7 linked regions of the Mus musculus genome follow. The protein of the gene in region 3 interacts with the protein of the main gene of each other region in a biochemical or structural test. Links are inferred from orthologs where the notes say so. Each region holds a gene or a part of one and is shown on either strand. Other genes may lie near its edges. The genes, in order: Irf1, Hsf1, Stub1, Insr, Cyp3a13, Bag1 and Ube2v1.

Region 1 (2,406 bases), on a different chromosome or scaffold from region 3:
TCTTTGAGTTTGAGGCCAGCCTGGTCTACACAGTGAGTTCCAGGAAAGCCACGGATACACTGTGGGGCGCTGTCTCAAAAACAAACAAACAACAAAACCAAAAACCCAGCCGGAGAGATGGCTCAGCAGTGAAGAGCACACTGGCTGCTCTCCCTGAGGATCCAAATTCAATTTTCAGCACCACATGGCAGCTTACAGCTGTCTGTGACTCAATTTCCAGAGGATCTGACACCCTTACATAGACATACATTCAGGCACATGAAGTGAAAAATTAAAATAAAAACTCCCTTCCGTGGCAAATGAGTATAAATGAGCATGTCCCTGTGGCATGACGCCCCCTCCTCCTGCCATCTTCTTCTTGACCATAACTGGAAAGATTCGTGATCGACGCATGTCAATGCTCAGCTGAAGCCCAGGCAGAAAGCCAGCAAAAGACTCCCATCAGGAGGTTTCCTTAAAAAGTAAGACCAATTCTGATTTCTAAATAAAAAGCCACACGCTGTAAACAACTTAAATTTTTATAAAAAGACAAATATACATATTTACACAGGTCCACCACATGACCAAACACCATTTAGCAGTTAGGTGGCGTTTCTAATAGATAGTCAAGAGTCACGCCAAGGCGCTCACAACCCCCCTTTTCCCTGGGCCTGCTGAGGACTGCCAAGGCCTGAGGAGACAGCAGGCACCAGGCAAGGCACTATATAAATAAATGCAAAGGCCTAGACTGGGGAGAAATGTTAGTGTACACCTCTGATCAGAAATGTGGCAAAGTCCACAGAGAAAGTGCCATTTTTTTTTCCTGAGCCCCACAGCTGGAGCAGGTAGTGAGGCAGATTCCCTCTGAGGCTAAGGGAGCCAACCTTCACAGGACCCCATTTTTTTTCCCTTCACATTTCACTGGCTTGGGAACCATCCCAGGGCTCGGTTGGGAAGGGCAGCAGTTCTTTGGGAATAGGACTCATTTAGTGCAATTGTCTCCTAGTACAGAGCCAGCTCTAGGGCCAGTGCTATGCTCTTCTGTGGGCGCTGGTCTATTCCCCTCAGGGCCAGCCCAGCGATAAGACCCTCTCTATGCAACAAGGCTTTTAAAAAGCTAGAAGATGACTCCTGTCCATGGCCTCTGCCTTACACCTCAGACCCCCCAATCCATCTTCCTAGGAGTCAGGGCCAGCTTCACCTCACAAGAAAACTCAGACTCTGCCTCCTAAGCCCTGAGAGCCCACTGACCCAAGGAGGATGGTCCCCTGTTTGCAGTGGGACTATGCTTTGCCATGTGTCAAGGGGCCCACAGGAGTCTAGCTTTTTTTGTATCACAGCCACCATGATGCCAAGGCCTAACTCACTCAGGAGGGCAAGAACGGGTCAGAGACCCAAACTATGGTGCACAAGGAATGGCCTGAATAGAGGGCGGCAGCCTCACAGAGTTGCCCAGCAGGCTGTCCATCCACATGATGGAGTCCATATTCTTCATCTCCGTGAAGACATGTTGTATGCCTATCCCAATGTCCCCTAGAAGATGACCAAAAAAGAAAAAGGCTGTATAAGTAAGGAAGGGTATGTGACTCTCACCCAGCTGTCCACAGCCCACAGCAACTCCATCTCTTCTATAGACCAGCCCCAGCACAGGGGCAGCTAGGAATTCTCACTTCATGCTGTACCTGTTGGCCTGGTTTAAAAGGCATGCTGGGATGCTTTAATCTGGCTCTGGCTCTGCCTCCAACAGCTTCCCCCTTCTCCCAGAACCCAGAAGGACCTAGAAGCCTCTTACCTCGAGGGCTGTCAATCTCTGGTTCCTCTTTGCAGCTGAAGTCTCCATAGACAGAAGAGAGCTGGGTCCCTGGCTCATTGAGCAAGTATCCCTTGCCATCGATGTGTGTCGGCTGCCACTCAGACTGTTCAAAGAGCTGGGGAGAGAGCATGAAGCCATCAGCTGCCTGCCAGTGCACTCACCCTGTGGCCCTTCCCTTGGGTGACCTAACCCTTCCCAAGCAGGATCATAACCTTGACTGTTTATGGGTAACAATATGCAAAACTGTCTAGGGAGGGGAGCACAAAGCGACCTGGGCCCTGCTGGCCCCCGCCCCTCCTGTGTGTCGCTGTCCCCCTCTGGCACAGAACCTGCATGAGTCCCCTCTACTGGGGGAGGACACAGGAACTGGCAGGGCAGCTTAAAGCCAAGGTTAGCATAACAAGCCAGAAAAGCCAGAGACAAGCAACTAGGCACACATTTCAAAAGTTCTGTGCTCATGGGCCAGACTCGGGATAAAACTACCTTAAAAACATTTATGGTCACTTTGAAAACTGCAGCTGAAAAAGTAAACCACAAAAGAACTTGCTAAGAAAAAAACCAGAGGGTTTCTTATTTTGTTTTTTTTCCTCCTAAAGTCATCCTAGTACAGATCC
Region 2 (3,500 bases), on a different chromosome or scaffold from region 3:
AGTGGACAGTGTAGACATTCCCAGAGCCTCACATCTTTCTCTTCACCCCCAGGATCCGGTTCGACTGCACCAGTGAGATCAGGAACTGAATGAGCTGTGGGGCAGAAAGGATACTGTCACCCTGGCCCAGTCATGGAGGGGACCCACCTACCACCAGCCCTGCCCACCTTGTTGACAACTTTTTGCTGCTGGGCATGCTTCTGCCGAAGGCTGGCCACCTCCCGCCACAGGGCCTCGTTCTCGCTGCAACACATTGCTGGGTCAATTGGGCCACATTAGAAGAGCCAGAGAATCAGGCTGTTGATGGACAGGGCTGGACCAGATGAGGGCTCACTGCACAACTGATTCCCTAACTCCACTCTACTTACAGGGCAGGATTCAAACGTCAGCCAGGGCTGAGGGAGGGCATGGATAGAATCTGATGGTACCTTAGGATCCTAGCTGCAATGGGGCACTTGTTACATACTGGCTAGGCACACAGGACAGGTCTCTGGGAAAGATCCTAAACTACAGATTACCCTCAGTTTTGGGGTAGAAGGCAGCTGTGAACTGTGCTGAGTGAGTGATAAAGGGCGAGTTGAGTCATTGTGACTAGAGAACAGTAGAGAGGTCTGGCCCAAGGACTGTTGTGGTCAGCTCCTGTCAGGCCTGGTTTTTAGGGAGGCACCTGGAAATGGGCTTTGTGTGCTCAAATCCTGAAAATGTGAATTCCAGCAGGGGAGTGAGAAGTGGGTGCAGTAGGAGACCTCCAACCCCACTCTGTGTCTGGAGATGTACAAGACAGGGTTTCCATAGAAACAATGAAGGCAGGCTGGGAGGGGGAAGGAGGCTTGAATGGCTCTGCAGGATCGGGTAGGAGACCCAAAGCAACCTGGCCACCCTCCTGAGCCTTGGGACCTACTGCTTCATGGCCAGGAGCTTGGAGTCCATACACTCCTGTTTCCCCTTCATCAGCTGCACATCTGTCAACAGCCGGGTGACACTGTCCTGGCGTATTTTTATGTCCTCACTCTTCAGGGTGGACACCTAAGGGGTGGGGCATACAAGAGTCGAAAGTGGCTCTGGAGTGTGGTAGGCTCCTGTGCTTCACCTAGGCATCCAGGGAATGAGGAGGGCCTGGGAAACACTGGGAAGGGGGAGGGGGTCAGAGACAGAGAGCACAGGCTATGCTTTTAGGCTAGTCCTGCAGCACCACCTAGATACTGCTCCCAGCCCATAGCCTGCAGGAATATTTAGGGCAGGGAGGGGCTGTACTCAGGGCTGGTGACTCACGCTGGTCACTTTCCTCTTGATGTTCTCAAGGAGCTGTTCCTGTCCACGCAAGAAACAAGGATGCTGGAACTCGGTGTCATCTCTCTCAGGCTTGACCAGGCCACCCTGCTCAATGTGGACTACTTTTCGGAAGCCATCTGTGTATATGGGGGTGGGGGAAGTTCTGTTTGAGGGCCAGGGACCAGACCTTCAACAGCCTAGCCATGGCCTAGGGCAGGCAAGGGGCCTCCTAGAAAACTGTACGAGAGTCTGACTGGTGTCCATTTACCATACATAGCAAGTTATTCTTGGTTGGAAAAGACTTTGTCCCCGAACAGCTTCCCTTTTTGTAAATGGAAGTGTGGCCATTAGGTTAGGGCCTCATATCCTACACTCTTCCCTGGAGAATTCAGGCTCAAACTCATGAGGACCCTTCTTCAGCCAACCCAGGCCTCCATCTCTTAGAAATAGGCTGGGGTCTATTTCTCCACACCCAGTGAAGCAAGCATAGCATCCTGAAAGAGGTACTTACACATGTTGAGCTGCCGCACGAAGCTAGCCATGTTGTTGTGCTTGAAGTACTTGGGCAGCACCTCCTTGGCAAACTGGCCCTGGTCAAACACGTGGAAGCTGTTCCCACTCTGTCAGGAGACACATGGGCAGGTCATATATAGCAGACACCATCATAGTTTCACTGTGGCCTGATGTCTCTCTCTCCATGTGTGGTGGATTTGCACACTCTCCCTCCATAGTAGTAGCAGGAGGTGAGTGTAGCTGTAGGACTCTATGGCTGGTATCCGGGCCATGGAACCTAGGTCTGAGCAGTGAGGCCCATGTAACCAGAGACAGGATCTTAACTTCCTGACAGTTTTTAGTTGCTAGGTTTAGACTCATAAATCACCCACAGCATTCTGGTCATCTCTAGGGACTGACTAGAATTTAGTTTTAATCAGCAATTTTTCTTTTTTTTTATTTCTTTTATTTAGCAACTTTTTTTTAATTAGGTATTTTCTTCATTTACATTTCAAATGCTATCCTAAAAGTCCCCCATACCCTCCCCCACCCCCCTACCACTCACTCCCACTTCTTGGCCCTGGTGTTCCCCTGTACTGAGGCATATAAAGTTTGCACGACCAATGGGCTTCTCTTTCCACTGATGGCCGACTAGGCCATCTTCTGATTCATATGCAGCTAGAGACACGAGGGGGGGGGGTACTGGTTAGTTCATAACGTTGTTCCACCTATAGGATTGCAGATCCCTTCAGCTCCTTGGGTACTTTCTCTAGCTCCTCCACTGGGGGCCCTGTGTTCCATCCAATAGCTGACTGTGAGCATCCACTTCTGTGTTTGCCAGGCCCCGGCATAGCCTCACAAGAGACAGCTATATCAAGGTCCTTTCAGCAAAATCTTGCTGGCGTGTGCAATGGTGTCAGCATTTGGAGGCTGATTATGGGATGGATCCCTGGGTGTGTCAGTCTGTAGATGGTCCATCCTTTCGTCTCAGCTCCAGCAATTTTTTCTTTAAGAATAGCTGGAGACATAGTTCCAAGTGCTTACTATTCTTATAGAGAACCTGGGTTTGTTTCCCAGCACTCATATGTCAACCCACAACTGCTAGTAATTCCAAGTTTTACGTGACCTGATGTCCTTTTTTGTCCTTCATGGCCTCTGGCATACATGTGGCACTCACATATATGCTCAAGGACACACACACACACAGCTCCAAATTGTGGCAGTCAAAACAGGAATGAAGTTGTTGATGCTCTGGAAGACAGTCCTGATCAGAAATACCACCTTATTCTTTTTCAAACTCAGATGAAAACTGTTAAATACTGGGGCCGTGCTTCTGTGCTGGTGCTTTCCTGAGCACAGTCAGAACCACTAGGAGGGGCTGAAGGGCCATGGCAACTCAGAGGCCTTTGATACTGGAGTGGGGAGGTCCTACAGTGGGTAGGGACAGTATTCTCGTGGGTGTGCAAGACCAATCAGCTGAGGAACCAGTCTCTTTGCTGGGGTGGGAGAACTATAATACAGACAGAATCAACCAAAAGGATCCTAAGGTATTGGATTAGCACCATGGCTTTTTTCAACACGCAGAGCAGTGAAACAGGCTTAAACAGAAACAGTGGAGCAAGTGGACACAGGAGGAAGAGGATCCTAAGTAGCAGGGAAAGTGCAGGTAGGAAGTGTGGTATCAGTGAGAGAAAGAGGCTCTGCTCTTTACACTAATTGTTTAGTCCCCATTCTTC
Region 3 (4,036 bases):
GTTCACTTGGCCTGGGTCCTGTAATTCTTGGCAGGTCCTTGTGGGAGGCCCAGTCAGGGTGAAGGTCAGGCAGCAGGTCTGGGCATACATCTGCCCCCCAAGTTTGCACAAGACGAAGAGTCTACAACTCTAAGACACTCACTAGTGAGGTCCACAAGGGTTCTGGGGTCAAGTTACTAACCACCAGAACCATGATGGGGCCCTGGATGACCTCTCAGGCCCCGCTCAGCCCCGCTCAGAAAGGCAGTGAACTCTTGCACCTGGGCTAGAAACAGCAAGTAGTGCTTGAGTGTGTACTGGAGGGTTAGCAAGCTAGGAACTGTAGCCACCGCCTCTTCGTATATGAAAGCTGCAACCCCAGAAACCTCTGCCTCCAGGACCACTGCAAAGAGTGACAAGGAGGTTCTGGGGATAGCTTTTTTTGAGCTCCTAGAGCCCCCACCCAACTTGGGCAAAGATGCTACCTACTCACTCGAGGCAGTGGCAGAAACCACGCAGCGAAGTTTGACTGCGGCGCCCAGATCAGCAGAAAGCCGAGTTCTGCTTCTCCAAGTCCGGGGTTGGGGGTGTTAGCGGCCAACAGCTGATGCAGCAGCGGCTAGAAATGCCTCAACGACAGACCATGGGGTCAAAGGGTCTTGGTGCAGGCGCTCTCCAAGGAAACCAGCCGGCTCCGCCCTTGAAGAAGCTCCTCCCCATGACCGCGAGAAGGGCAAGAGTCCAGCCGTGCACCCGCAGCTACTTCTATAGCAACCGCAGAAGGTCCTTCGGTGTCAGCGTGTCACGTGCTTGTTTCTCAGCCATTAATGGCCGCAGGCAGCTCCTCCCGATTCCCGAGGAAGCCCCTCGAGAGCGGTCTGATCTGCGGGCCTCTCTTCTACCCTCAATTCCGCCTTCCTACCGGCGGTCCAGACGTTCCCAGGCTGTCGCGTGAGCCCGTGTGTGCCCTGGTGGTGCGCTAGGACCCGGGCCTAGTGACCGGCCCTCGGAAGGCCACTTCTCAATGACCGCTGCCACGTTCGCCCAGCTTGGGGCCGGAGGGCGGGGCTTGAGCGCCGATGGGCGGAGCCTTGGTCTGAGCAGGGTAGGTCTCGGTTACTGTAGGGCGGGGCCTGTAGAGCGCGGCGGAAGCTTCTCAGAGCTAAGGGAACTGGCTCAATCCACGAGGCTCCGCCTTTGCTCACGTGTCCCCATGCCAGCTCCGCCCCACACCGGAAGTTCCGGTGGCGGATCGCCGACCGGGCGGAGCTGATCGCTGCGCGGGCTGCGAGATCTAGGTGGCCGGGCGCGGAGCCCAAGCCGTGCCGCGCGGCGCCATGAAGGGCAAGGAGGAAAAGGAGGGCGGCGCGCGGCTGGGCACTGGTGGCGGCGGCAGCCCTGATAAGAGCCCGAGTGCGCAAGAGCTCAAGGAGCAGGGAAACCGGCTCTTCGTGGGCCGCAAGTACCCGGAGGCGGCGGCCTGCTACGGCCGCGCCATCGTGAGTGCGGGAGGGGCGGGGGCGGGGCCCGATGTGCCTCCCAGTTTTGTGATCCCGGACAGGGTTTCTGGCAGCCTGGACTCGATGGCTCGCTCGCTCCCCTGGTGCCCGGATTGCTGTTCCCGAGTCTAGGGCTGATTTGACTGGGAACTGGCGGGCGGGATGCTTGATTAAGTAAGACTAAGGATGACACCAGGAGCTCTTGCCCCTTGAGATTTCCAAGCCCAGAGCTTGTAGAGGGGTTGTGGGATTTCTCTCAAAAGCAGTTGGAGGCAAGAAAGCATGGCCAGAATCCAGAGCTCTTGATAATTCGGAAATCTCCAGTTCCTCTATTCCAGCCATGGGCCCCCAAAGCTGGAGCATTGACCAGATCATTGGCTTTCAGCTTGCTAAATGAGAGGGGATCAACTGAGCCCACACTCTTTGACGCCTGGTCTTGGTCCCCAGACTCGGAACCCACTTGTGGCAGTGTACTACACTAACCGGGCCCTGTGCTATCTGAAGATGCAGCAGCCTGAACAGGCACTTGCTGACTGCCGGCGAGCCCTGGAGCTGGACGGGCAGTCTGTGAAGGCGCACTTCTTCCTGGGGCAGTGCCAGCTGGAGATGGAGAGTTATGATGAGGCCATTGCCAATCTGCAGCGAGGTGGGCTGACAAGATGCAAGGTTGAGGGCACCTTGGGGGACCAGGATTGTTGACAAGTGTAACCAAAAGTGTCCACTCCCCTAGCCTATAGTTTGGCCAAGGAGCAGCGACTCAACTTTGGGGATGATATTCCTAGTGCCCTTCGCATTGCTAAGAAGAAGCGCTGGAACAGTATCGAGGAACGGCGCATCCACCAGGAGAGTGAGCTGCATTCATATCTCACCAGGCTCATTGCTGCTGAGCGAGAGAGGTGGGTCCCTCCCCCAGCAGACACTGAGTCACCAGCACAAGTGTTTTTATTGAAGGACAACAACCGGTACATGGGAAGCCCAGGAGGAAAGAGGCCTGAGATGGGGCGGGCTCTGTGATTTCCTGGTCAGGGCCATCACCAACTAGCTTCTGGTTAACCCTCAGGGAACTGGAGGAGTGTCAGCGGAACCACGAGGGTCATGAAGATGATGGCCACATCCGGGCCCAGCAGGCCTGCATTGAGGCCAAGCACGTGAGGGTGCCCCTAGTCCACATGTGGGTCATTGTGTGTGTGTTTGTGTGTGGCATGAAAAGTGCCCCAGCCTTTGGTGGATCTGTTGGCCCATGCATGACATGAGTGCCCTGGTGGACAGAGTGTGTGTGTCTGTGTGGAGACAGGAGTTGCCCACACATGGCACTCAACTCTGCAGGATAAATACATGGCAGATATGGATGAGCTCTTCTCTCAGGTGGACGAGAAAAGAAAGGTGAGGACCCCCGGAAGCTCATCGGCTGCTGCTGGTATGGTGACCCCCACAGCCCCCTCCAGTTCTAGACATTTTCCCCTTGTGCTATAGAAGCGAGATATCCCTGACTACTTGTGTGGCAAGATTAGCTTTGAGCTGATGCGGGAACCCTGCATTACACCCAGTGGTATCACCTATGACCGCAAGGACATTGAGGAGCACCTGCAGGTAAGGAGGGCCCATGGAGACCGGGCCATGGAGAGCCTTGGTACCCGGATCGGTATACTCAGGCCATTGAACACTCTTGACTCTGTTGCAGCGTGTGGGCCACTTTGACCCTGTGACCCGGAGCCCTCTGACCCAGGAACAGCTCATCCCCAACTTGGCCATGAAGGAAGTCATTGACGCTTTCATCTCTGAGAACGGCTGGGTAGAGGACTATTGAGGCCCCATGTCCTGCCTGGCACCCTGGCCCAGGAGGATCTGGAGACGGAAGCTCCAGTCCCTGTATAGTTTGTGTCCCTGGGCCTGCCCCCATCGGCCCTGCTGATGGGTTCTGAACTGCTCCCCTTCTCAGCATACCCCTTGCTGGACCATGAGCCTCCCTTGTCCCCCTTCTGGGCTGGAGAGTGGGTGAGGGTGGGCTGAGGTTGCTGCTGCTGCCACTGTCCTGTAATAAAGTCTGTGAGCACTACATTGGCATGTGCTGGTGCAGTGGGCTTGCCAGTTGCCTGTCTGGCTAGCCAAGGAAGGTAGAAATGAAGACACTGGTGTCCAGATTGAGTGTGGCATGCCACCACCGATCAGGAAAATACAGTACCTGGGAGAAAAGAAAAAAAAAATTTTGATTCATGGCTTTTTGAGTTAGCCCAACCCCCACCTACCAGCTACTGACTTCACCAGCCTGGATGGTACATTCTAGAGGCCGTGCTGACAGGGCTAGAGATGGGTATATTTCCAGCAGCCAGGCCAATGTGGTCTTGTTAGGGTGGAACTCAGGTGTCTTCTCAGGAGGGTAGAGGAACCAGCGCTGGAGGCAGGAGTGTAAGGTCACTATGTGTGCAATGGACTATAGACACCAGATTTACACACACACATAACACACACATAACACTGTACTGACCTTCCGACCATAGATAACCTCTGAGAAACCAGGCCCATGCCAGTGGAAGGGTACCCCAGATCCAGCTCCTGTG
Region 4 (4,136 bases), on a different chromosome or scaffold from region 3:
GAGTGCTTGCTGACAGGCATACAACGCCACACATGGTTTATGTAAGTCTAGGGATGAAACCCAGGGATTTTGTGTGTGCACAGGGAGGGCTACACTCTGGCCACACACCCAGTATATTTACTGCACAAACCCCAATGTCTTGGCTTTCTGTGTGCCATTAGGGAACAATGTTTATATGCACCTACTATGTGTCCAGCACTGCTCAGGTTCTAACATCGGTGAGGAACAAACACCAGGCCCTATCCTTGTGAACACTGCATGTATATTTAAAAGCCCCCAGAAGCTCTGTCTCCTGGGCTCAGGAAGTCCAGACATGGACAAACAATCAATTACCAAAAAATGTAAAAGCAGAGCTCAAGGTACAACACTATGCGCCCAAGTGCACAGGTGCATATACAACATAACCCTACTTCCTTAAGGCCTCAGAGAGCAATGTAGATGTTAACAATCTTGGATTTTTCTAATAAGAACCCAAACCATGGACTGGCTCCGTTTTTACTTACTGAGATGGATGGCTCAGTAAGTCAAAGCACTTGCTGCCCGAGCATGAAAACCTGAGTTCAGATCTCTCCACACCCACCTAAAAGCCAGCACTTCAGCATACATCTATCTATAACTCTAGTGATAAAAAGAGGTGAAGGGAGAGGGGGAACTGGCACTCACAGGCTAGGCAGTGCGGCCAAATCAGCAAACTCAAGGTTCATTGAGAGACCCTGACTCAAAACACAAGGCTGAAAGTGACAGAGACAAACACTGGATGTCAACCTAGGTCCTCTACAAACACACAGGCACAGGAGTGCACACGCGAACACACATGCACACGCACGAACACGTGCACTCGGGCACAAACCAAACCAATGGCCATTCCTCATTGAGTACCTTCTGTATATCGGATCCTGGGGGCCTCAGAGACATTACCAGTTTAGCAGACCCACTCCACAAGATCAACCCAACCTGTTCCATAATCCTGCACCCTCCTCCCAACACACACATCTCCCTCATTCACAAAAGCGTGGCAGTTCCTTCTCTCCTTGACCCCTTCCCTATTGTAATTAATTTCCATTTTCAGAGAAAGCTGAACCAGTAACTCAAAAGACATTTGTCATTGCATGTTTTTTGAAACAGTGTCTAACTAGCCTCAAAACTCACTCAATAGCTGGGCTTGCTTCAAACAACTCGCTATCCTCCTGCCTTGGCCATAACCAAGCACAGAACTATAAGACCAGCCTCTGAACAAATGGGCTAACTGAACCTCATTTTAGCCCTCTCTGAAATGGGTATGTAACTATGTTGGCCTCCAGGGAACACTGGGAGGTTCTAGCGCTAACCAGCCTGGAGACTCATAATCATTCTAATTATAACCATCCTGAAAACTACCCCTACTGTTACTATGATTGCTGTGGGGCCAAAGGTATGCAGACTTTGCCTCTAGACATCTGGAAGTAGAGAATTATAAACATAGCAGCCACAAGGGGTCGATTCTCCAACAAGTGTCCTCCGTCGAAGAGGATACCCCTGGCTTTGGGTTTAAACTGCTCAGATGTCTGAATCTGTTGCAACCCAGTAACCATACTTACTTAAAGCAACCTCAAAGAGCCTCAGAGGACAGATTTGGGGTTAGAGAAAAGAACAGACACAGTTGAGAGGTGCACTGGGGACAGACACCCGAAGCCTGGGCGGGCACTGGGGCAAGGTTCCTCAGACCCGAGATGGACACACGCGGGGTACAGAGCCACAAGCCCAGTGAGCAAAGGCCAAGGTCAGCCGGGGTTTCACGCAGGGCCAGGGCCACCAAACCCACTCTTCCCCTTCCCCAGTGTAAAGATGATCACTATAGGGAGGGGACTCTTCATAGACACAAGGACGCTACGGGAGTCTTCAACCTTCAGTCCGTGGAGAGGGGGCTCTAGGTTGATGGAAGAAGAACGAGAAATGTCCACAACTCTCGTGAAAGGACTATATTGCTGGAGTGGTGAAATGGGTGTCTGTAACCCTGACTCCTTGGTGGGGCCTGGGGGGCTCTAAGTTGTATGGAGCAATGGGAAGGGTTGTCCCCATTACTCAGCCCAAAGGGAGAATTCTCTAGGTTGGCTGTGGCGGTGGAGAGGGGTGTCCCCGACCCTCACTCCTTAGGGTGAGGGTTCTAGATTGGCTGGGGCGGTGGGAGAAGTGTCCCCGACATACTGTGATCGCCTCTTGTCCCAGACTTACCCTCTCCAGGGTACAGGTGGCCGGCTGTGCCCACCAGCAACGCGGCCACGGCCACCAGCAATGGCACAGCCGTCGTCTCACATCCTCTCCCGAAGCCCATAGCAGTAGGAGTGCTGGGACCCCGGCGATCAGAGCACGCCACGCCGGCCTACTGGGGACATACTCCGTGAGAAGGTCTCTGGAGAGGCGCTCGGGGCCGCACGTCCTTCTCTTCCACGCCCGTGGCTCACAGGCCGCAGCTCTCCAGCCTAGAGGGCCCTGGGGACAGTCCCGGGAAGAGCACAGAGGCCTCGGCCGCAAGCAACACCGTGGCGCGGCCCGCAGGTCACCCAGGCCCGGTCCCGTGCCCGCAATCCCAGAGTCCAGAGCTCACCGCGGTGCGTCTCCTGTCCGGGTCTCCTGCTTCTGCCCTCCGTGCAGCTCTGGGTGGGTCGCGTTGTGTGGAGTCTGAGACAGAGGGACGCGCGCACTGGAGGGCACCTGGGCTGGTGGTGGCGGCGGGAGCTAGGGCTCGACTCCAGCCCGTAAACAACGCAGCCCGTCAGCTGGGCCCGCGCGGGCCAAGGGAAAAGGTGGCGCGGATTAAGACAGGGAAGGGACTGTGCGCTCCAGTGAGGCCCGCTGGGGGGGGAGGGGGAGAAAGCCAGCAGAGCTCGGGGAGGCGTGGCCAGAGCTGGCAACGCCACGCCTCCTCGCCTCCTCGCCTCCTCGGCCCCTTTGCCCCCTTGCCCCGTAAAACCCGCAACTTCAGAGACCCGAGGCTCACTTCAGATTCTTCCAATCCCAACACCCCGAACTGCTGGCTTAGAAAGATTACGATTTAAAAGCTTGTAAGCGTTCTCAGATACCAGTGTAACATAAACACCCAAACAACTCTAAGACTCACCTGTCAAACGTCCGGAGCTGCCCATATCCGCACCTGACACGAACGCCCCCAAAGAGTCCCAAAGTTCCGATTTTAAAACCTAGGGGTCCCCAGATCCCCGCCTGACTCGAAAACCACTAAACAGGCCTGAGGTTCCAGTTTAAAAGCCTAGGGACGCCCCCAGGTCCCCTCCTGACTGCAGCAAACACAAGTAACACCGAGGTTCCAATTTAAAGGTCTGGAGCACACTCTAGATCTCCGCCAGATCTAGACACCCCAAATTACCCCGAAATAACAATTTTAAAGTCTGGAAATGCCGCCAGATACCCCAGGACATAAACACCCCAATATGCCCCTAGATGCCAGATTCAACCAAGCACATTTTGTCTTTCTTTACTCCTTTTTACTATTTTTTTGACTCCCGTGGGGAATTCACTTTAATTCTTTACCTTTGATTCTGTTTTTCTTTACAGCCTATGCTACCAATGTCTTACGAGATTCTCCCAACCCTGGCTCTCTCGAGGAGCTAGTAGGCGCCCAACAAGTTCCCTCCCCAGTGAGCTCCCGCCCAGCAGCTTGGAGGCACCAGCTTCCAGGCCACAGCCACGTGTCCACAATGCAGGCAGCCTGTATTCCCTGGCCTGCGCCCCCTCCACCCAGCACTGAATTCCAGCAGAAATCAATAAGGAAATGACTCTAGAAGAACATAACAAGGCTTCTAGAAACACGTTAGAAACTTCATATAGGATCAGAGCAGACATAACTCCATTTTCAACACACATACCAGTAGGTGGCTGTATGTCTAAGAAAGCCATTCACTAGCAGCCCTGCTCAACCACATCATGAGGCGCTAACCCTGTCGGTGCCTTAGGAATATGTGCAGTACAGAGTCCTCTATCCTTTGCTTCACATGTTCACTCAGACCCGGACTGTGGCTGCTGGTCTGTGCAATGGGTTTGACAATATCTGTAAAAAAAAAGGTAAAAATAAAAGTAAAGTGGCAAGCAATAGAGAAAGACACTTAAGGTCAACCTTTGGCCTAGCACACCACACCACACAC
Region 5 (3,500 bases), on a different chromosome or scaffold from region 3:
TGAGAGAGCCTTAACAAAAGGTAACAGACACCTGAGGTTTTCTTCTGAGGTTTACCTCTGAATACTTATGTGCATTCATATATACAAGTATGTAAATATGCATGAATATATACACACAATAATAATGATGATAACTTTAACCAACCCCCCCCCCCAAAAAAAAAGGTTTTTGTAAGATGGAGGCAATACAATATTCAGAAGATAAGCTGGTTTCATATGACAACACTTTTTAGCATGTGCCACTAAAAGAAAAGAGAAAAACACAATAGAGACAGAAAGACTGGATACTACCGACCAAAGTGCAAATGAGTGAAATAAAAAGAATGAAGGAAATCAATGAAAACAAAGATGGTTCTATGAAAATATCTTCAGGGTTAGCAAAGTGTTAGCTGGGATTGTTCTAGAAATAGTGATGACTCAGATTATTAGCATGCATAGTGAAGTGGGAGGGGAATAATGTTATGAAAAATATAAGGACATATAAAGAATTCTATTAATAAATGGGGGATAGAACAACAGCCTCAATTATGTAACTTAGCTAGAATGTACAGATTCCTAGAAGTTCACAAACCATAGAAGCTGACTCAAAAAGAAATGCATACCATGCGTAAAAGACCTGTGGCATAAGAGGTTATATGTTGCACAGAAAATACACAGAGACCCATAGCATCTCTCACAGTCTAGAGTAAATGGAGAACTATGATAAAATGAGATTATCTTATAAATGTGTTCCTGGATCATATTGAATCTTTACCTCCTCCTACCTTGCCTTATGTACAGAATTAAAACTATCCCTGGTTTAAAAAACATGCTGTCCACAAGGAAAGCCTAAGACCATAAGGTTTCACTGCGGAATTTAACCAAATGCTTAAAGAAAAGCATATACCATTTCTTCCCAAACACTTCCAAAATTTAGACATATATAAAAGTATCTCTAAAATTCTCTGTAATACAAGTAGTGCCCCTAATATTAAGATCAGATAGAAATATCACATGAAAACTACAAATAAACAACACTTGTAAATATGTAAAAAGAAAATTTTCAATACAATATTAGTGACTATAAAAGAGCTATATTACTCTAACTAGATAAGATTCGCCTCAAGGATGCTCTTCTATACAACTGAACATACCAATGCAAATTAAAAATGAGCAGAACAGATGAACAATTAAATCTTTGAGAAAAGCCAACACCCACAGTCCCTTCAGTCCTCTATATTAGACATGACCATACAACTCAGCACTTCTTCTCAAGTATACACCAAAAACAACTTGAAACTTGTTCAGACACAAATGTGTGTACAAGTATTCATAGCAGCAGCGCTGTTCCCGAGAGCCAAAAGGTCAAACATTCTAAATAACCAGCAGTCGTGAGTAAATAGGACATGTCATGTCCTTACAATGGGATGAGATTCTGCCATAGAAAATAATTAAGCACTAAGACTCACTTCAAGGTGCATGAACTTTTAAAGCATACTAATTTGGATGCCAGACACAAAGAGGGTGATAGATTGCACAATTTTACTCTTATAAAGTGTTCAGAATAGGCAAGTCTACACAGCTAGAAAGTAGGCTTACTTGCTGCTTATGAATGAGGGAGGTAAGGTCATTAAAAGTTCAGAGTTTCTAGAGTGACAAAGATGTTCCACAGCTAGCAGTGACAGCTGGAAATACTTTAAATATACTGAAAACCAAATCCTGGCCTGTTTCAGTGGACTACTCACAGCATATGTGGATTATCTTTCACTACACTGTTGCTTAAAAAGACAAAAAGAATGAAACATTAGCTTACGTACTCACTGAGAGGAACAGTGGATCAAAGATATCAAATTTTAAGAGCTTCTTGATTTTCTCCACAAAAGGATCCTGTGGGTTGTTGAGGGAATCAATATTCACTCCAAATGAGGTGGCTGTGATCACATCCATGCTGTAGGCCCCAAAGATGCTGAAGAGAAACGGAATATAACTATTAGATATCTTCTTGGTCTAGCTAAGATAGACAGAGTATGAAGCAGTAGTAAGTTCACATGTCCAGCCAAGATAGCCAGAAGGTCATACAGAAACCCCGCCTACCATATCCTTGCTTCTGTCACACTCACTTATGAGAAGCTTGACAGGTGACAGTGTTGTGTCTATCTTTGTGATGTGGGACTACATGGGTACTATCTATGATTGTGAGTTTTAATTATCAAAATGACATAATCTACAGTCACTGGGGAAGAGAATTGTTTCTACCAGCTGGACAGGCCTGTGAGGGTCTGATTTGATTGTGTTAATTGATGTGGAAAGACACAATCCTCCACTCTGGGTGGCAGCATTCCCTCGGTTTGGTTCTGCTCTGTGTAAGTGTGGGAAGGATAAGCTAAATACCATGCATGCTCATTTTACATTGTTCTTCCTTGTGGATGCCAATTCTCTCCCATTCCGAGAGCTCTAACTCAGGTGGCAAGTACCGTAACCCACAAAACTATCTTGACAGCCCAAAGCAATAGTTTCTATTTCACTGATAGTCCCAAAAAAGTCTATGATGTAATATAAATGGTTTGATGTTTTAACTTTCCTGGTATACACACAGCATTCTAATAAGTGCCAAGTACTTTCTCCACTCTTTTCTATTGAATCCACACCAACAACTTTGTTCAGATAATGTTCCTTCTTTCTAAACTATCTTTCTTCTAGAATTTTAATAATTATAATGGGATAGACAAGTTAATAATGACTCCTGAATACAGAGGTGAGACTTATTCTCTTCCAGGCACTCTACTTTCTCATAAGAGACGCTCCTTTCCAGAGTGACCCATTAAAGTCCAAATGCTGTGACAGGGATGTCTCCAGTTTCCTTTGGTCTCAACTCCAGTCATAGTCTGAGCTCTTCTAATCAGTGGTAACACCATACAACCCACTTATGACTAGTCCTGGAGTAACTTCAATAAATGAAAGTTCCCTAACCCTAACCCTAACCCTGTTTTTTTGTTTTTTGTTTTTGTTTGTTTTTTAAACTGGGAACTTCAACTCCCCAGTAGGTAATTATGGAGTCTCCTAGCACTACTGTTATGATTTGAATGTGCATGTCCCACCAAAGGATTGTGTGTTTGAATACTTAGTCCCAAGCTAGTGCCACAGTCTGGGAAAAGTGTGGCAACTTTTGGAGGTACAGACTCATTGGAAGCAAGTCACTTTGGGCAGGTCTTCATATAATCTGGCCATACTTCCTTCCTTCTGATTGTAGATGCATTGTGATCAGGTAGCCTCCTGTTCCTGCCACAAAGTCTTCCTGCCAGGAGACTGTATCTCCCTCGGAACCACAGCCAAAATGAAACATTTCTTCCTTCAGTTGCTTTTGTTAGAATATTTTGTCACAGCAACAGGAAAGTAACTAATACAACAACCCAGCGCTCAACACCTGTGCTAGTACTTACTCTTTCATGCTGGTGGGCTTTCCTTCTCCTAATCCCTGCCTCATGTTTCTCACCAACACATCTGTAAACTGGTTAATGATG
Region 6 (3,500 bases), on a different chromosome or scaffold from region 3:
TTAAAGGCGTGTGCCACCACACCCGGCGGAAGGCTTATTTATTTTATGGGTGTTTTGCCTGCATGTATATCTATACCACACGCCTGCCTGGGACTTGAGGAGGCCTGAAGAGGACACTGGATCCCCTGGAACTCGGCTTAGAGAGGGTTGCAAGGTACTGTAGATTCTGGGAATCAAATCCAAGTTCTCTGGAAGAGCAACTGGTACTTGTAACCACTGAACCATTTCCCTGGCTCCAAGCTGGCTTTCTTATACAGCCCAGGACCACCTGCCTGGGGCAGATGCAGCTCATAATGGACTCTATCAATTACCAAACCCATCTTGCCCCAGTGTGCCTATAGGTCACGCTCATCTGGGTAATCCCTCAGCTGAGACGTATTTCTTAGGTGCCTCTAGGCTGTGTTAAGATGACAGTTAAAGCTAACTAAGACACACAGTACCTGGCCCATAACAGTAGATGTTTGACATCCCCGAGCAACAGATTTTCCCAGGTAACACAAGTGTAATACTGACAGAACGAAATAGACTGAAATACTGCCACTAAAGAGAAGTACCTCTGGGGTTAGAGAGGTGGCTCAGTGGTTAAGAGCACTGATCGCTCTTCCAGAGGTCCTAAGTTCAATTCCCAGCAACCACATAGTGGCTCACAGCCATCTGTAATGGGGTCTGGTGCTCTCTTCTGGCCTGCAGGCATACATGCAGGCAGAACGCTGTATATATAAATAAATAAAACGTTAAAAGTAAATAAAAAGGCTAGTACCTCTATATGAATGTTTACTTACCATTGTGTCAATCTCCTCCAAGATCTTCATGAATTGCTCAATTGTTGCTTTTACTTTCCTATCAAGTTTGCAGAGAGCCTCCGCTTGCAATTCCTTAGCCAGAAAACCCTGAGAAGGAATAAGGCACTATTGCAAGTGTTTGAGACTCATGGAAAACCATGCCAATAGACTGGTGAAGCAACCCAGAGTTCACCACTGATCTAAGAAGCCCGGCTAGATCTCAGACCTTCATCCCCTGGGAAAATTAGAAATGCTTGCCTTGGCCAGACTAAGAATACTACCAGGGTGTGGACTGTTCTTTCTCTCACAGTCCACTGAGGCATGAATGCCCCCTGAGGAACTATGGTGCAGCCTTCAACACAGGTGCATACATGCACATAAGAAGCAGACATTAAGAGAACAGACTGAAAAGCTGGGCACAGTGCATCAAGGGTTGGCGTGAGGTGTCTTTGCCAAACACTGTGTGGTGGTTTGAATAAAAATGGCCCCCATATATTTGTATGCTTGGTCACTAGGGAGTAGTGCTACTTGACAAGGATTAGGAGGTGTGGCCTTGTGGGAGGAAATGTGTCACTGGGGGTGGGCTTTGGGGTTTTAAAAGCCCAAGCCAGGCCCAGTGTCTCTCTCTAAGTGTTGCCTGTGGATTGAAATGAAGAATTCTCAGCTACCTCTCCAGCACAAAGTCTGCCTGCATGCCACCATGCTTCCTGCCATGATGATAATGGACTAATTAAACCTCTGAACTTTAAGCCAGCCACAAATAAACGCTTTCTTCTTTTAAGAGTTGCTGTGGTCACGGCGCCTCTTCACTGACTAAGACTCTGCCTTATTTTTTGAGACAGGGTCTTTTACTGAATCTGGAGCTTGCCCAATTTGGCTAGACTGTTTGGGCAGTGAGCAGCTGGGATCCAGCCCTCTTCTCTTTGCCTCCCCCACACTGGGATTATACAGTGTGCCATCATGCCCAGTTTCTGCATGGATGCTGGGAATCTGAACCCAGGTCCTGATGCTGTGTGGCAAGCACTTTATCAGCTAAGCTACATTCCCAACTTTGGCTTAAGATCTTAAAGCAAGTTCCTTAAACTTGCCACGTCTCACTGATCTCAGATTATGGGATGCTGACCGGCAGATGTGTAGATGCTCACATAACTCATGGCACAGATAGATACACAAGATAACAGAGGATGGCGGTATTATTGTGGCTTTGGTTTTGAGACAGGATCTCTAACTCACTGCATAGTCAATGCTGCCCTTAAACTGATCCCGTCTCTTGCTCTGAGAAAAGCTGTGATTACGGTGTACAAGCCCACACCTGGTTGAGGTAGCACTTACTGTCATTAAACCACCCTGCTGTTCATTTGCATTTCTTTGCCTAGTGATCAGTTAGCGGGTGGCTGAGTTGAAAAGCAGGAATTTCTGAAGATGGCTATCAAACCAGAGTGACAAAGGCATATTTGTAAACACACAGCAAGAAGTTCGAACATTACTCAGAAATCCAAACTCAGTTCTATCAAAGACAATCACAACTACTCAAAAAGGACTCCTGTCTAAGGGCACTCAAAGCAGCAGCACAGTAAGAGAAAAAAATCAGGTAAAACAGAGAACAGAGACTAAGGTAGGTAAACCATGATATATTCACATGCAGGAAAATATGACCATTTTCAACAACACAGGAAAATGTTAATTTTTAGCCAGTAAAAGAACAATTTACCAAATGTATAGCATATTATATTTTAACTAAATAAGGTGAAAAATACTTTTCAGAGTAATAGCATCTCTGGGTCAGACATACAGACCTGCACACAAGAAGCACAGTAAGAGCCGGGCGTGGTGGTGCACGCCTTTAATCCCAGCACTTGGGAGGCAGAGGCAGGCGGATTTCTGAGTTCAAGGCCAGCCTGGTCTACAGAGTGAGTTCCAGGACAGCCAGGGCTACACAGAGAAACCCTGTCTTGAAAAACCAAAAAAACAAAAAAACAAAAACCAAACAAACAAAAACCAAAAAAACGAACAAACAAACAAAACAACAACAACAACAAAAGCAGCACAGTGAGAGCAGAGCTGAGCTTAGGACGTGAAAGGCCTCGGCTTGAATCTATCTATACGCACATATAAAACTTTTGTGTAAGCATCACAAACTAATTTTATAATTACAACACAAAACAGGACTGGAGAGATGGCTCGGAGATTAAGAAGGTGTACTGTTCTACTAGCCGACCTGCGTTCTGCTCCCAGCATCTAGAGGCTCACCACCTCACATCACCCCAGCTCTGGGGGGTGTGGGGGGTGTCTTCCTGGCCACCAGCACTCACATCCACCTACTCCAACACAGACCCAGGCAGACTCACACATAATTAATATATAATTTAAAAATGAAATAAATTATTTTTTAAAAAGCCAACCAGGCAACAATACCATACCACTCTATCCACAGAATAGAGAAGTCACCTGCTGGATGCCAGAAAGCTCTTTATTCAATTCTTGCAGGTGGTTAGCTATCTTCTCTGCAGATACCTCCAAATCTTTCAGCTTCTTTAACTCAACCTCTTCTTCTGGATTGCTCTAACATAAAGAATAAAACGAGGTCAGTAATTGCTCACCTAAAACAACTGAGCCAACCTCTTGTGCTTCTTGGAAAGCAAGTCAAAGGGTTAGACAACAGGATTCCTATCCATAAAGCCCAGCCCAGGGAGAAGGAAGGCCAAGCGAGCATCCTAG
Region 7 (3,500 bases), on a different chromosome or scaffold from region 3:
TCACACTCACCCACATTTACTCACTCTCACATGCTTTCTCACCCACACTCACTCTCACCCACATTCACTCACACACTCACTCCCACATGCTCACTCACTCTCACACGCTCGCTCGATAGCTCACTCACTTACACATACTCACTCACAGTGGCTGCCAGGCTTGGCACAGGTGCATCGCCCACTGAGCTACCCTGTGCTGGGCTACAGAGCATGAAGAGGAGGGCAGGCTTGTGGAGCACCAGCTTTCAACCCCGCCCTGCCTGTGGGAGCACATGCTCGCTCCCCAGACTCCTCCTGTAGGTACTACAAATACTAACCCAGCTGGACTACACACTTAAGAGCACTCTAAGCCAGGCAAGGAGACACACTGCCTCAGTGCTTCAGGGGTGGAATCTGAGGCCAGCTTGTGCTACATTATCAAACTATATCTCAAAAATCAAGGTTTGGGGAGCACACAGACTTAGCTGTTCTTGCAGAGGACCCAGTTGATGCCTAGCACCTGTCAGAAGATCACAGGTTCCTGCGAGCACAGCTCCAGGATACCAGCAGATGCAAACACAAACGGCCAACAGACATAGCCCAGTGGTAGAGCACCTGCCTGCCATGTCCACAGCCCTAGACCCCAGCTTTTGGGAGCCTGGGACAAGAGGATTCCAAGGTTTTGGCACCCAGGTCTGCAAGGCAGGATCTTCTTCTTAAGTCTCTGGACACAGGGTTTCCCTGTGCAGCCCTGGCTGTCCTGGAACTCTCTCTACAGACCAGGCTGGCTTCAAACTCATAGACATCTACTTTCCCCTGCCTCCTGAGTACTGGGATTAAAGGCATGTCCCATCCATGCCCAGCTTCCTCTTCTGTTTTTGAGACAGGAGCTGGATATGTAGCCCAGGCTACCCTCCAATCAATAGTGATCCTCCTGCCTCAACCTCCCAAGAGCTGGGATTAGGTCTGAGCAACCACTTTGTCTTAAACAAAAGACAGGCTGGTCTGCCTGGAGTGTATTTCAGAGGCATGGCGTGCTGCCTGGCAAGCAAGCATCTGTGAGGTCCTAAGGTAGATCCTCTCCATCGGGTTGCACTGCAAGCCCGTACAATAGACACGTGGAAAGTATCTGGTGTCTAGCAGCTCAGTGAGCCCCACTCCCCTTTAGAAAAGGGTATAAAGCCTAGCTCAGGACAATCTAAACAGTTTTTGTTACAGAAAGGGTCTTATGTAGTCCAAGATGCCTTGAGCTTGCAGTAATCCTCCTGCCTCACCTTCTGAGTTTATAAAGTGTGCTGTAGAAATCCTAGCCTGAACATTTAGGCAGAACATTTTCAACAGTATTTACAAGCTGTTTTAGATTTCTGTGTGTCCTTTTGCTTTGCTTGTGTGTGTGTGTGTGTGTGTGCTTCATGTGTGACAGTTGTGAGCCTTCACATGGGTGGGTGCTAGGAACGAACCTCAGTCCTCTGCAAGAATAACAAGTGCTATTAACCACCCAGCTGTCTTCAGCCCATCTGTCTCTTTTGAAACAGTGTCTCAAGGATACATACTGGCCCAAAATTCCCTGTGTGGCAAAGATCACTGAGAGTGACTGGTCGGTCCTTCTGCCTCTGCCACTGCATGCTGGGATGTGGGTAACTATGGCCATAGCAAGCTCTTGTTTAGTTCTCACAGAGCCTCTCAGCATCCAACAGAGCTGATGGCACAAGGTCCACAGCCTCTGTACCCCCTGACCCACACACAGGTGCTCTAAGGAGACCATCTCCCTCGAGGCTGGATCCTCTGAGGAAGGAGAGCATCTGCAAAGCCATCTACCTGTACGTCCTGAGACTCAGCACACTGCTGTGCAGGGAGGAGGAAATGGGGAATGTATATACATTAACTCTTGCACCGGCATCAGAGTTGCAAAGATGACTTAGGAAGCAGGAGTGAAGTGCAAGGCTGCTCAATGACCCTCAAAGGTGACCTTCAAATGTCTGAATGCTAATGAGCGGGAGGTAGGTGTCTGCCCTCTTAGTTCCACTGTGCCTTGCTGTTGAAAAGGAAGGAAGCTGTCACTATAGGCACAGCACACTCAGGCTCATCTCCAGAAGTGTCCCTTTTAGGGTCTTTCCCTCTTCCTGTATTCTCTCCTGTACCTAGTCGTAAACTCCCTAGCACTTCAGTGCTGACTAATGAATACTCAACTTGTCAGCAGTGTGTCAGTGACCAGTGGGCAGGGAGGAGAGAGAACAGGCTTGGCAAACAGACCCAGTTCTGTGACCCTGGGCAGGTGACTTCACCCTGGGTCAGCTTCCCCACCTGTGACCTGGAATGTGGTTACGCAGGAGGATGAGACAACGACTTTGTGGGCACTGGGTGACAATTCTTGGAGGGCTAACCATGTACCCTCAAACACACAGTGGCTAGGACCTCACTAAGCAGAGTTCTTGTAGGCTTGCTTGCCCCTCTTCTTTGGCCCTGGGTTTAAATACCTCTGGACCCAGCAGAGCTGATGGCAGGACTTGAACCTGCCCTGAGTGACAGGCAGAACACAAAGGCACAGCAAAGCTGGGATGGTAGCTGTCCAAGTGCTTGCTTTGTCTTGAACTCAGCTGAGGGACGGCAGCTCAAAGACCACAGTCTACACTGTCATGTAAATCCACACTACTGGCTACACAGGATTTGATTACCAAAGAGGATTAAAGCGCATCAGAGGGGCTCAAATGTATAAATTGAAATGGGTCAGAGAAAAAACAGCACACTTGAGCAAACACCTCTGGTGAGTGTCTGCCAACTGCTTTAAGGAAAGGCACAGTGAGCTTAACTCGATGACAGTGACAGCTGGAGCTTGGTGCTTACTCGTGGAGGTCCAATTATCATGCCTGTCCATCTTGTAAGTGTCATGTCCTCGTCGTCCTCCAGACCCCAGCTAACTGTGCCGTCGCCTACTCCTTTCTGTCCTTCTTCCAGCTCTTCCAACAGTCGGAAATTTCGAGGGACTTTTACTCCTAAAACAAACGGAAAGAAATTCAAGGTTCCAGCAAATCCAGGTGTACGGCTAAGATAGCACAGCGAGGAGCTGCTCATCACCAGTGTGTGCTGCGGACGCTGTGTACACAGCTGGCAATGGCGCCTCACACGCACCGAGCCATGGGGAGCCAGAGGGGTGCTCACCCACCCCAGCCCCTCCAGTGCCCCACCCCGTTTAGCTGTTGCTCCCTTTGCTCTGAGCACTGGCTGAGAGGAATGCCAACCGCAGCCTGGGACACGGCACTTCCTTTCACGCAATCGTGGTATGACACATTTTGGAGGCTGCAGAGACTTAGGGATGCTCCTGGCTGGGACGGCCTTAGCGACACCAGCATTGTATCTCATGAAATGCTGTCCCCACAAGTAGCTATCAGGCAGGAGCGCGGAGGAGGCTTTTTCACTCCGTAAGCCTTGGCCCTTCTGGTTTATTTTTTAGCCACAAAGCCCATGAGGGCAGCCCAGACACCGCCACAACCACACCAGGCGCCTGAGCCACCTCAATGTCA

The links.
Region 1: of the proteins of Stub1 (region 3) and Irf1, one has a biochemical effect on the other in vitro, tested with the Homo sapiens proteins (4 studies listed by BioGRID, with this or other methods). The link is inferred for Mus musculus from reciprocal best matches to the Homo sapiens genes STUB1 and IRF1.
Region 2: the proteins of Stub1 (region 3) and Hsf1 form a complex in vitro, tested with the Homo sapiens proteins (2 studies listed by BioGRID, with this or other methods). The link is inferred for Mus musculus from reciprocal best matches to the Homo sapiens genes STUB1 and HSF1.
Region 4: the proteins of Stub1 (region 3) and Insr form a complex in vitro, tested with the Homo sapiens proteins (2 studies listed by BioGRID, with this or other methods). The link is inferred for Mus musculus from reciprocal best matches to the Homo sapiens genes STUB1 and INSR.
Region 5: of the proteins of Stub1 (region 3) and Cyp3a13, one has a biochemical effect on the other in vitro, tested with the Homo sapiens proteins (3 studies listed by BioGRID). The link is inferred for Mus musculus from reciprocal best matches to the Homo sapiens genes STUB1 and CYP3A4.
Region 6: of the proteins of Stub1 (region 3) and Bag1, one has a biochemical effect on the other in vitro, tested with the Homo sapiens proteins (3 studies listed by BioGRID, with this or other methods). The link is inferred for Mus musculus from reciprocal best matches to the Homo sapiens genes STUB1 and BAG1.
Region 7: the proteins of Stub1 (region 3) and Ube2v1 form a complex in vitro, tested with the Homo sapiens proteins (4 studies listed by BioGRID). The link is inferred for Mus musculus from reciprocal best matches to the Homo sapiens genes STUB1 and UBE2V1.

The regions. Positions count from the first base shown.
Region 1 is NC_000077.6:53,775,419-53,777,824, reverse strand, and holds the end of Irf1 (interferon regulatory factor 1), read right to left. Parts: intron 1,908-2,406; coding exon 1,772-1,907; intron 1,513-1,771; coding exon 1,379-1,512; 3' UTR 501-1,378; downstream 1-500. UniProt on the Homo sapiens protein: Transcriptional regulator which displays a remarkable functional diversity in the regulation of cellular responses.
Region 2 is NC_000081.6:76,494,362-76,497,861, reverse strand, and holds part of Hsf1 (heat shock factor protein 1), read right to left. Parts: intron 1,893-3,500; coding exon 1,784-1,892; intron 1,410-1,783; coding exon 1,273-1,409; intron 1,027-1,272; coding exon 902-1,026; intron 244-901; coding exon 168-243; intron 95-167; coding exon 33-94; exon of another isoform or gene 1-32. UniProt on the Homo sapiens protein: Functions as a stress-inducible and DNA-binding transcription factor that plays a central role in the transcriptional activation of the heat shock response (HSR), leading to the expression of a large class of molecular chaperones, heat shock proteins (HSPs), that protect cells from cellular insult damage.
Region 3 is NC_000083.6:25,830,134-25,834,169, reverse strand, and holds Stub1 (STIP1 homology and U box-containing protein 1), read left to right. Parts: upstream 1-1,250; 5' UTR 1,251-1,316; coding exon 1,317-1,478; intron 1,479-1,925; coding exon 1,926-2,124; intron 2,125-2,208; coding exon 2,209-2,374; exon of another isoform or gene 2,375-2,538; coding exon 2,539-2,626; exon of another isoform or gene 2,627-2,804; coding exon 2,805-2,861; exon of another isoform or gene 2,862-2,951; coding exon 2,952-3,068; exon of another isoform or gene 3,069-3,159; coding exon 3,160-3,285; 3' UTR 3,286-3,536; downstream 3,537-4,036. Other genes in the region: Jmjd8 (jmjC domain-containing protein 8 precursor), read right to left, coding at 3,580-3,660, 3,736-3,870, 3,964-4,031. UniProt on the Homo sapiens protein: E3 ubiquitin-protein ligase which targets misfolded chaperone substrates towards proteasomal degradation.
Region 4 is NC_000074.6:3,276,818-3,280,953, forward strand, and holds the start of Insr (insulin receptor isoform A preproprotein), read right to left. Parts: upstream 2,801-4,136; 5' UTR 2,312-2,800; coding exon 2,212-2,311; intron 1-2,211. UniProt on the Homo sapiens protein: Receptor tyrosine kinase which mediates the pleiotropic actions of insulin.
Region 5 is NC_000071.6:137,908,120-137,911,619, forward strand, and holds part of Cyp3a13 (cytochrome P450 3A13), read right to left. Parts: coding exon 3,420-3,500; intron 1,946-3,419; coding exon 1,797-1,945; intron 1-1,796.
Region 6 is NC_000070.6:40,938,295-40,941,794, forward strand, and holds part of Bag1 (BAG family molecular chaperone regulator 1), read right to left. Parts: intron 3,345-3,500; coding exon 3,231-3,344; intron 891-3,230; coding exon 783-890; intron 1-782. UniProt on the Homo sapiens protein: Co-chaperone for HSP70 and HSC70 chaperone proteins. Acts as a nucleotide-exchange factor (NEF) promoting the release of ADP from the HSP70 and HSC70 proteins thereby triggering client/substrate protein release.
Region 7 is NC_000068.7:167,615,006-167,618,505, forward strand, and holds part of Ube2v1 (ubiquitin-conjugating enzyme E2 variant 1), read right to left. Parts: intron 2,973-3,500; coding exon 2,824-2,972; intron 1-2,823. UniProt on the Homo sapiens protein: Has no ubiquitin ligase activity on its own. The UBE2V1-UBE2N heterodimer catalyzes the synthesis of non-canonical poly-ubiquitin chains that are linked through Lys-63.